Tribolium castaneum: one gene and its partners. The main gene of each other region encodes a partner of the protein of the gene in region 2 in a complex. Links are inferred from orthologs where the notes say so. Each region holds a gene or a part of one and is shown on either strand. Other genes may lie near its edges.

Evidence for each region.
Region 1: Sgf29 (region 2) and Ada3 share a complex: the UniProt entries of both Homo sapiens proteins name them as parts of the ADA2A-containing complex. The link is inferred for Tribolium castaneum from reciprocal best matches to the Homo sapiens genes SGF29 and TADA3.
Region 3: Sgf29 (region 2) and NC2beta share a complex: the UniProt entries of both Homo sapiens proteins name them as parts of the ADA2A-containing complex. The link is inferred for Tribolium castaneum from reciprocal best matches to the Homo sapiens genes SGF29 and DR1.

The regions. Positions count from the first base shown.
Region 1 is NC_087401.1:17,517,188-17,521,020, forward strand, and holds Ada3 (transcriptional adapter 3), read left to right. Parts: upstream 1-1,393; 5' UTR 1,394-1,547; coding exon 1,548-1,725; intron 1,726-1,780; coding exon 1,781-2,169; intron 2,170-2,221; coding exon 2,222-2,391; intron 2,392-2,446; coding exon 2,447-2,550; intron 2,551-2,603; coding exon 2,604-2,887; intron 2,888-2,940; coding exon 2,941-3,120; 3' UTR 3,121-3,195; downstream 3,196-3,833. Other genes in the region: uncharacterized protein LOC103313297, read left to right, coding at 1-742, 796-1,005, 1,049-1,228; uncharacterized protein LOC656520, read right to left, coding at 3,659-3,833. UniProt on the Homo sapiens protein: Functions as a component of the PCAF complex. The PCAF complex is capable of efficiently acetylating histones in a nucleosomal context. The PCAF complex could be considered as the human version of the yeast SAGA complex.
Region 2 is NC_087396.1:14,033,150-14,037,238, reverse strand, and holds Sgf29 (SAGA-associated factor 29), read left to right. Parts: upstream 1-1,190; 5' UTR 1,191-1,468; intron 1,469-1,517; 5' UTR 1,518-1,620; coding exon 1,621-1,791; intron 1,792-2,246; coding exon 2,247-2,766; intron 2,767-3,616; coding exon 3,617-3,801; 3' UTR 3,802-3,888; downstream 3,889-4,089. UniProt on the Homo sapiens protein: Chromatin reader component of some histone acetyltransferase (HAT) SAGA-type complexes like the TFTC-HAT, ATAC or STAGA complexes.
Region 3 is NC_087398.1:1,910,194-1,913,003, reverse strand, and holds NC2beta (protein Dr1), read left to right. Parts: upstream 1-1,495; 5' UTR 1,496-1,614; coding exon 1,615-1,855; intron 1,856-1,902; coding exon 1,903-2,174; 3' UTR 2,175-2,197; downstream 2,198-2,810. UniProt on the Homo sapiens protein: The association of the DR1/DRAP1 heterodimer with TBP results in a functional repression of both activated and basal transcription of class II genes.

The DNA of each region.
Region 1 (3,833 bases), on a different chromosome or scaffold from region 2:
TAATCAAGCCGTGCCTTGGTTGCGTTTTATTGCACTTTGTGCCGCACATTTGACCGATAGTCTCACTCAAACAATGATTTTGATTTGTGAGATATTGACCGAAGAGCCTGAAGGTGGCTCTGCAATGATTCCTCTATCGACTTTTCTCGATTTGTATGAGTTTTTAGCACGAATTGATGCTTCGTTGCCACAAACTTTGAAAAATTACTATTTTTTGGATAAGTTTCTCGAATTGTTTCGCGAGAAAATTGCCAAAGATTCAGGGGAAAAACCGGTGGAAGAGGAACTCGAAACGGATTTTATGAGCGAGATTGTGTCCGAAGTGACGGAAAAAAGTGAAAGGGAGACGAAAAAAGACGATGAGGGTTCGGTTGTTTCGTGTCCAAGTGTCACAAGTCAGGATCCGGACAACTACATGAAATTGTTGATGAAAATACGAGCCGAAGGCGAATTTGAAGAAAGCAACGAAGAAATAAAGGAAGAAACAGAAGAAAAGACGGAACCTGTTGATGAAGAAGTGAAAGAAGAAGAAGTTGAAGAACGTAAAGAATCGGTCGCTGTTTCCGAAAAAAAATTTCCGGAACAGTTGGCTGAAGACGAAAAAATTCCGCAATTTCCGGTTGAAGATGACCTTGTTTCGAAAAGTACGCGAATGTCATCAGCACCGAGTGAATCATTGAAGAAAGATGAAGAGGATTTGAAACAAGACACTTATCTTATGGAAGATTTGGCAAGACTTCGGGTAATTCACCGACTAGTCTACTAGGTTTTTCCCCGAAATAAATTCGGGTTTAGTCATTACAGGAAGCCATGATGGGTGAAAGTGACGACGAAGTTGAGAAATTCAAAGCTAGTATTTTAGCTGAAGCTGGTTTAACTCAATCACAAATTGATGCACCTGAACATTTTGAAACACGAATTGAGAGTGAAATTTTCACTAATGAGTCACTTAAAAGTTACGAAACGTCGACAAGTGAACCGTCCGTCAAGGAAAAAGCGCCAGAAGTAGAAAAAAAAAGTGGGAAATTTTTTTTTATAATTGTTTTAGATTGAGTATGAGGATGTGTTCGTGGATCCAGTTCCAGGAATCGGGCCGAAAGTCCCCGAAAATTTAATTTTGGCCGTTTGTAATTACATGAAAGATGTGGCCAAGTGGCAACATGACATGGTTATGCCGAGGAATATACGGCATTTTGATCGCCCGCCTTTAGAAATTCGAAATCAATAAAAATTTTGCACCGTTTTTTTTTTGATACATGGTACTGCCCAAATCTTAATCATATTTAATCACGTTTCAGTGCGTCCAGTAATCAATTAATAATTATTTGTGCCTCCAGGTGTATCTACTTGATTAGTAAATAAAGCCCTACGTTTCGGAAACACGTATTAAATTTTCCCCCTTTATGTTCGATTTAGTTTACAGTTTCCTGTAATTCAAGTGTCAATTTTTATGTATCGATTGTCAACAAACAACAAAATTGTGTGAAATTGGCTAAAATAACATTGATGATTAACATTTTGCATGTTCTTTGTGCCTAAAGCGTGATATGAACAACCCCAAACGCCACCTCATGTCAAAAAACGCCCCCCGAGGGGGCAAAGCGAAAGACGCCCCCTCGTCCTCCCGTCACGACTCCATCCCTCCTGACACCGAAAACTTCATAAACACCGTCCCTTTGATCCGTCAATGCGACAACACGAAGCTTTTGCCCCGTTTTTCATCCAGTAATCAACCCTAACCTAACGTTTTGCCCCTTTTGATTAATGAGCAAGTTTTTAGTTTTGGGGCGCACCGAAGACGATGGAGTGAACATGGACGACCTTGATCAACTTCAACTCGACCTTGAGAAGTTAATTTCGACGTGTGCTGTGCGTAACCGGTTTTTAAGGGGCGAAATCGAATCGATTGATCGAGTTGAGGAAAAAAGAGACAAAAAGGGCAAATCGTATGATAAAGGGGGGCTCAAACGGAAACGGCCCGATGATAAGGCCAAGTATCGTGATTTGAAAGGGGGCGCACGCCCCCTGAAACGTCATTATCCACTTCCGGTGGATGTGCCCTTGAGGCATGAAATGCCCAAAATTAATTTACCCAAGAATGATACTTCGGATAAGTTTTGGGCGACTGTGGAGCCCTATTGCGCCCCCGTTACGAATTCACACGCTACGGTTGATTGATTTTTTCAATTTTATAATTATGTATTAACAAAAAAAATTTTAGTTCCTCGATAAATTAATCGAGGAATGTTCGCAAGAAATTGATGTAAAAATACCCGATTTGGGCGAATATTACGCCAATGAGTGGTCAGATAATGCAACCGGAGTGGAACAAGAATTGGGGCTAACCTCTAAAACAGTTGGCCTTGATTTGAAAAAGAACGGTTTGAGTGCGTAAGTATTTTTTATCAAGTCATAAAGTTCAAAAAAATTTACAATCAATCAATAGAATGGTTGATTCATTTTCAAACCCGAAAACTCAACGCCTATTGGCCGCCTTGATTGAGGAGAAAGTGATGACGTCATTTCCGGGTGTTACTGGGAAACTCAAACGTAATAAAATCACATTTGTCGTAACTTCAAACTCATTTAATTCACTTTTAAAGCGTCCGATTTGAATATAATCAAGTCAGCTGGTGGTCCACGTGCTGCCATATGTATGGATCGCCGCCTTAAGAAAGATTTAGTCGAACAAGGATTATTAAGTGTTGAGGATTTATCTAAAACAATGCCCGACGATGAGATTTTACAAGAAATAAAAAAATGTCAACAAGAATTGACAGCTGTCAATGAGTATAATGTTGAGGAATTGAAACGTTTGAAAGCTATAGTTGTCAAAGATTTGAAACGGCAAGAAATCAAAGCAGCTCTGGATGTAGTAGATGGCGAAGTTTGTTGATTGGTGTTACCATGGTAACAAAATTAAAACACCTAAAATTTCAGGTTTTGGAAGTTTATAATAAGGTGTTAATGACCAAACAGAAGCAAATCCAGCAGGCCAAGGATGAAGATTTCGATAAAGCCGCCTTTACAAAAAGTTTGAAAGAATTTGAAGTGAAGACACATGTCTTGTTGGAAACGCAGTTTAAGTTTCAGAAAGCTTTGGCGGAATTGCAGGAATAAAAAAAACACCAGTTTTAAGTCTTACATTATTATTATTATTATTTTTGACACATTAATTTACAAATTAGTCTGGTATTTGGTGTTTAGAGTTGTTTTCTTTTTCCTCAATTGTCTAATTAACACTCCTAATTAAATAATTGAAAAACACCGATAAATCAATTTGTACTTGGGAGAGATATTCATCAAAAAATGCTTTTTTCGTTTCGTTTGGTTGGTAAAAAATCACTCTTTTGAATATTCAAATTGGCACCACTGGTGGTATATGAAACGAATGAGTCAATAGTGCCAACCTGACAATCACAATTGTGCGATGAGATGAACTTAACCTATAAAAAAAGTATATTGCGAACATGAATACTACCAACGGCTAAAATTGATTTTCCCTAAATATTTATATAAAAAACAAATCGTAATAAATATGACGCAACAGAACAACAACAAAAAAAATATATCGCTTAATCCTACAAAATTATCACATTTACATTCTATACAAATGATTATCATCATGGATTTTTTTGTCCTGAAATTTTGATTACTATTACATTGTGTCAACATACAAATTCAATACGCGATGTATCAACTCGTATTGTTCGGCTGTTTGTACCATGCCGCCTCGATTCAATCTCAGCGAGCACAAAATGGCCAAAACGTCAACATTTAAGTTAGTTTTCAACTGTTGAATACCGTTCAAGATGGCGAGAAAACAACCAGTT
Region 2 (4,089 bases):
TTTCTTCACCTTCCCTAAGAATCCAAAGCTTCAAGAATTGTGGAGGAATGCCTGCAAAATTGAGGATCCTGTAAGTTCAAAATTTTGGCGTTTTCGCTATTTAGGGTATTTCAGAATTTACTTTTAAGTTTCTTATTTGCGCTCGAGTGTGTCAGTGCACTGCATGTACCTCCTCGTGGTCGTAGCGTGGGCAACTGTTTGCTGACAGACAAGGTAAAAGTCATTGCAAAGCAGACCTTATTTTGTTTTAAGTCTCGAGCAGACAGGCAAAACATGCCAACACTGACTGATTTAATTTTTTTATAATTTTTGTATAATTAAGAAATAATACAATACTTTAATTTTTTGAAAAATTTAATTTGTTATGTTACTCAAGTGTACAATAAAAATGTTAACAAAATCTGTGTTTTATTACCCCAAAACAACTTTTTTTGTAAGTTTCATTTCAAATTTTGTTTAAAATAAATATAAAACGTTTTCATTTTGTTTAAAATGAAAATATATTTTTTTATTTTAAACAATTTGCAATGAAACTTGTAAGATAAAAATAATAAAAAACAATATAAAAGGAATTTATTCAAACGTGGCACTTTACCGTGGTAGTAACGCACTTCAGCACCAGAGGCGCTGGATTCTCGTGTTGCCAGTGATTTACTAGGGAATTATCACTTCTTAACCCTTTCTGTTCTGTGCTACCTGTCAATTCCTAAAACGTCTACAAACATCACGCTCTGCACAAGCGCGGCGCTAAATTTAAATAACACGATATTTTTTAATGAAATAAATTTTCAGATAGACCCAAATCGTTTTGAAACCAGAATTTTCCTGAAATATTTAAATTAAAAACCTCTATATCATTAGTTAGTTACATAATTAATAAGCAAATAATTTTTTTCATTTTAATCTAAAGACGCAAGTACTAATTAAATTCACAATCACAACCTCGTAGCAAGTTTACAAACACGTATTTAATTAAATAAATAAAAAATAGTTGCAATTTTTTAAATAGCGCCTCAAGGCCGTCGTAGTTCCAATGTGACAACACAGAGATAAGTAATCCTAACACAACATTATCTTATATAGAAAAAAAGGGAAACTTAGTGATATTATCGTTGCAATGTTAAAAACATTATCAAGCATTTTATTCCACAATTATTACTAATTAGTGAATTTTTTGTAGGTTTAATTGAATATATGTATTAGGTCGTGTGTTTCAAAAAGTAGTCTATTTGCACGGCTAACGTCAAGCACAGGCAAACAAAAATAAGTGTATTTTAAATTACGTGCATGTTATTTTGATAAAAAATTACCATTTCCATAATTAGTAGTTTATTGTAAAGTACAATACATAAAAGTTACCCCCGCAGTGCGACTTGTGCCCTTTTCCCTGGCAGTGCATCAAACAGTCAAATCAATGTTTTTTGATTTAATTGAAATAAACATTTCCACTAGAACCGTGTGTAGAATAGTCAGTGATTACTAAAGTGTATACTTTTGCTCTATTTTGGGCGTTTCAGGTACTCGTCACTTTAGTGTTGCTTTGCTGGTACCACGTTGTGCTTGTAGACAGGCACTTCAGGAACCCATATTTCTGCGGTGAATTTTAATTGCACTATTAAAATGCCCTTTAGTGCAGACGCAATCGCAGCGCAAAAAGTTCAGGAGCACTTGAAGTCGCTCTATCACACGGTTCATGAGATTGAGAAGAAACGCCAACAGAGTGAACAAGGAATAAACAACATTGTTAAGTTTCAAAATGGGCAAGACGAGAAGTCCAGCCAACATTATCAGGTGTGGATTTTCTGGCATTCGCAAAATATTTTGAGGCATTTTCCGAAAAAATAACAGTAATTTGGGGCCAACATTTTTATGTGTGTATCAGTGTGATTTGTTTTCTTCTTTGTGTCAACGACATTTGGTCCCTTTACCTCGGTCTTGTTCTCAGCGGCAATCGTTACCTAATAATTATGCTACAAATAAAAGTACTGATTTCACTGCAACTTACAGTTAAAATTGTTAAAACGTAAATAATTACAATGGCTTTTAAGATCTTTGATGACATTTTTCTGATCTTTGGCGGCTTACGGTGCCCTGGAAACGCTAAATTAAAAAAAATCGCCTTTGAACCACCTTTTAAAGCTCAATTGTGTTTCAAGTAAATATTTTTGTTTACGTGAATTTAAAGAATTCCATTGTTTCGATTCAATAAGAGTTTATATGATTACTGTAATGATTATATATTGTAGATGAAGCTAAAGAGCCTCTACAAGTCCTCAATTTCGCACGCCGAGCAAGAGGAGGATTTGCTCCGTCAAGCTCTTCAAAAAATTGCGGAAATCCGCAACATTAAGAACGAACGGAGAATTCAAACGAGACATGCTGGAAACAAAGAATCGATTCGTAGGGGCACTTGGATGAAGATGTTAATGAGTTCGGCACAAACATTGCCCCTTTTCGTCGGTAAAATAGACGAAAAACCTCCTGCTCTCTGTGGTGCCACACCTGCTGACTCTGGCTATGTGGCAAAAGTGGGCGATATGGTGGCTGCTTTGGTTAAAATTCCTGATGGAGATGGCGAAAACTGGATATTGGCTGAAGTGTACAGTTATAATCACGCCTCAAATAAGTACGAAGTTGATGATATTTTGGCGGAGCAGAATCAGAAACGGCGACATACTTTGAGCAAGAGAAATGTGGTACCGTTACCCCTAATGCGGGCTAATCCCGAGACTGATCCAACGGCCTTGTTTCCACAAGGAACTGTCGGTAAGTGGAGTTACAACGAACTTCCTCCTGTTTCAAGCACCGATTATGGCAAAACTCTTCGGAAAATTGAAACTATTTTAAAGTTGTCTTTGTAAAATGCTCTGGGAAATCGCTTGGCGTCAAGAAAATGACCAGATTCTTAATAATTTTTAAGATATATTTTTTACACTGTTTGCGATTTTTTTTAAAACTGTTAATCGCAGAACAATGGTCTTTTTTGTAAAAAGAAACAGATTATTAAGAGCTATCCAACGATTATACACTTATTAGGGTTTCGGCTAGTATTTCTGGAATTATTGCCCGATGAATGTCACAAACGTGTTGAAACATTCGGTGGTATGTTAGCACAAAAAAAATCTATGTAAATTTTTTACATTTTTATAATTATTTTATGGGATGTCTCGTGGTTTTTTTGTGTCTGTTTTTGCTAATAATTTTTACTCAGTGTAGTAGATTCCTCAGAGATCATATTTGTTTAAAATTTTTATTAGTAAAGTTTAAAATTGCTCGCCAAATTTAAATTTATTCGCCATCGCCGACGAAAATTCAGAAACCACAAATATTCGGATAATGCAAGTTGAGTTCTTTTGAGCTCTACTCACATTCCTTAAAATATTTGCACAACTATCAAATTATTACTTTTTCGCAAAGGATTAATGTTTTTTTACAATTCTTTCTTATTTCGTCTTATTTGACAAATGATATAAAGCAAAAATAACAGCTAAAAAGACACTCTTTGTTAATTTATCTCTTCTAATGACCTCGGATATAACGAACGGATTTTGACACATTTTCTGAGTTCGTTATAACCGGACACCACGTAAATTAAAATGTTGGTTTTGCGTTTCAGTTATGGCTCTATACCCAACTACGAGTTGCTTCTATAAAGGCATTGTGAACAAGCCTCCCGCAACACATACTGATGAATATGAGATTTTGTTTGAAGACGCTGCGTATCCTGAAGGCTACAGCCCGCCCCTGTATGTGGCCCAACGCTACGTCATTGCCATAAAACAGAAGACAAAGCAAGCCTGACATTATCTTTCAGACACTATGTCTGATTCTGAAGCTTCAAGTTTTATGGAATAATTTATTGGGTAGTAAACATTCGAGAAACTTTCATTTTGTGTTATATTTCACCAATTTATTATTCATCTTTACATGTACATGAATTTTTTTTACATTTTTGTTATTTTCTAATCTAACTTTTAAAAAAATGGAACTCCTGAAAAAAACAGGCTGAAGGTACCTGTAATGTTGCAACATTAAAAATTATAAAATAAAAACGAAACTGTTCAGACCGTAACAAAACTATTCTCATAA
Region 3 (2,810 bases), on a different chromosome or scaffold from region 2:
TTCGGGGTGAAATGGGGCGAAAACTGCAATAATGCATTTGCGGAGCTGGAAAACATAACAATTTTTAACATTGTTCCGACAACTAAAAGGCCATAATTTTATTTTTAAAAAACGTCTTTTTTATTGTTGAATTGGTGGTCAAAAGGGCATTATGTGACAAAACCGATTTCGGGGTGAAATGGGGCGAAAACTGCAATAGTGCATTTGCGGAGCTGGAAAACATAACAATTTTTAACATTGTTCCGACAACTAAAAGGCCATAATTTTATTTTTAAAAAACGTCTTTTTTATTGTTGAATTGGTGGTCAAAAGGGCATTGTGTGACAAAACCGATTTCGGGGTGAAATGGGGCGAAAACTGCAATAGTGCATTTGCGGAGCTGGAAAACATAACAATTTTTAACATTGTTCCGACAACTAAAAGGCCATAATTTTATTTTTAAAAAACGTCTTTTTTATTGTTGAATTGGTGGTCAAAAGGGCATTGTGTGACAAAACCGATTTCGGGGTGAAATGGGGCGAAAACTGCAATAATGCATTTGCGGAGCTGGAAAACATAACAATTTTTAACATTGTTCCGACAACTAAAAGGCCATAATTTTATTTTTAAAAAACGTCTTTTTTATTGTTGAATTGGTGGTCAAAAGGGCATTATGTGACAAAACCGATTTCGGGGTGAAATGGGGCGAAAACTGCAATAATGCATTTGCGGAGCTGGAAAACATAACAATTTTTAACATTGTTCCGACAACTAAAAGGCCATAATTTTATTTTTAAAAAACGTCTTTTTTATTGTTGAATTGGTGGTCAAAAGGGCATTATGTGACAAAACCGATTTCGGGGTGAAATGGGGCGAAAACTGCAATAGTGCATTTGCGGAGCTGGAAAACATAACAATTTTTAACATTGTTCCGACAACTAAAAGGCCATAATTTTATTTTTAAAAAACGTCTTTTTTATTGTTGAATTGGTGGTCAAAAGGGCATTGTGTGACAAAACCGATTTCGGGGTGAAATGGGGCGAAAACTGCAACAGTGCATTTGCGGAGCTGGGCAACATAACAATTTTTAACATTGTTCCGACAACTAAAAGGCCATAATTTTATTTTTAAAAAACGTCTTTTTTATTGTTGAATTAGTGGTCAAAAGGGCATTGTGTGACAAAACCGATTTCGGGGTGAAATGGGGCGAAAACTACAATAATGCATTTGCGGAGCCATAAATATTGAAATTAGGTGAAAAAGTGGGAAAAATTAAAAAGCAATTTGTGGTAAATAATTGAGTTTTTCGCTATTAGCATAGTGACTTTCTTAAAATGTCATTTTTAAGAGGGTGTTTAGTGTTTTTTCGGATTTTTATTTTATTAAACGGTTTCAAAGCTGACAACCAAACATACATCTAAGCAAACTGAAACTTATTTTGCTAGTCTGAAACTGGCTTCATGTTCGGGTCTCTTCGGAAATTCGAGGAGCTGGTTTTGGGAGCTGTCTTCACACAAATGACGATCTGTCATTTCGCGGACTCTAACAGCATTATCCTTGACATGTCAAATTGTTCCAGCTGTCCCTATTTGAGGTTAAATATCTCTTTTTTGTTGATAAATATAACAATTTACAATGTCTAATCAAAATAATGCTGGTGGTTTAACAAATACCGAAGACGATGAGCTGACTTTGCCTCGGGCTAGCATTAACAAAATGATAAAGGAGTTAGTCCCATCAGTTCGAGTTGCAAATGAAGCAAGGGAATTAATCCTCAACTGTTGTACGGAATTTATCCATTTGCTTAGTTCTGAAGCGAACGAAATATGTAATCGATTGGACAAAAAGACTATAAATGCGGAACACGTTTTGATGGGTATGTTTCATCATTGTTAAACAACACAAAAGTAAAGTTTTTCGCAGCTTTAGAAAAGTTGGGTTTTGGAGATTATCAAACCGAAGCTGAAGCTGTTCTTAAGGACTGTAAGGCTGTTGCAGCGAAACGCAGGCGACAGAGCACAAGGTTAGAAAATTTGGGAATACCAGAAGAGGAGTTGTTGAGACAACAGCAGGAGTTGTTCGCCAAGGCTAGGCAAGAGCAGGCTTTTGTGGAGCAACAGCAATGGGAGCAACTACAAGCTGCGGCACAAGCCCAAGCTTCGGCTCTACCAAACAATGATGATGATTACGAATGATTTATTAAACGCTTTAAATATTTTGTTATTGTTTTCATTTATTTTTTAATATCTTAGATTTAGGCTTTGTATCAACCACAAACATTCAATAAATAGTGACCCAACGTTTTTTACAAGAAAATTATTCATCTGCAATCTTATGCGTACGAAGTCTAAACAGGATAAAATAACCAATTTCCTAACGCTGAAAAACACTCATTATTACAGTCTTGGTAATGTAGTCCCTGTAAATAATTAAGTAATAAAAATAATTATTAAATAAATGGAAAAAAAACCTTTAAAACTAAGCGCCAACTAAGTGCCAACGTAACATGTTTGCCATGTTTTGATCTTGGCAACACTTTTTTCATTGAAATATCCCCAAGATAATGTCATTTTCTAATAGAAAAAAAGTTATTTAATTTCCATTTAGCACGTAACCGCAGAACAATTTTTATATTTAATACAAAAATAGTTTTTTTGATAAGCAAACTAGAGATACAAAAAGGCGCAAAGCTGCCGTACATTGAGGTTATGTGAATGAACTCGTGTAAGTAAATTCTCCAGATTTTTTCATCATTATCGCAAATAGTGCGCTTACCCAAGCATGATATTTTAGAATGTTGAAAAAAAAGTAAATAAGCAATAAATAATCTT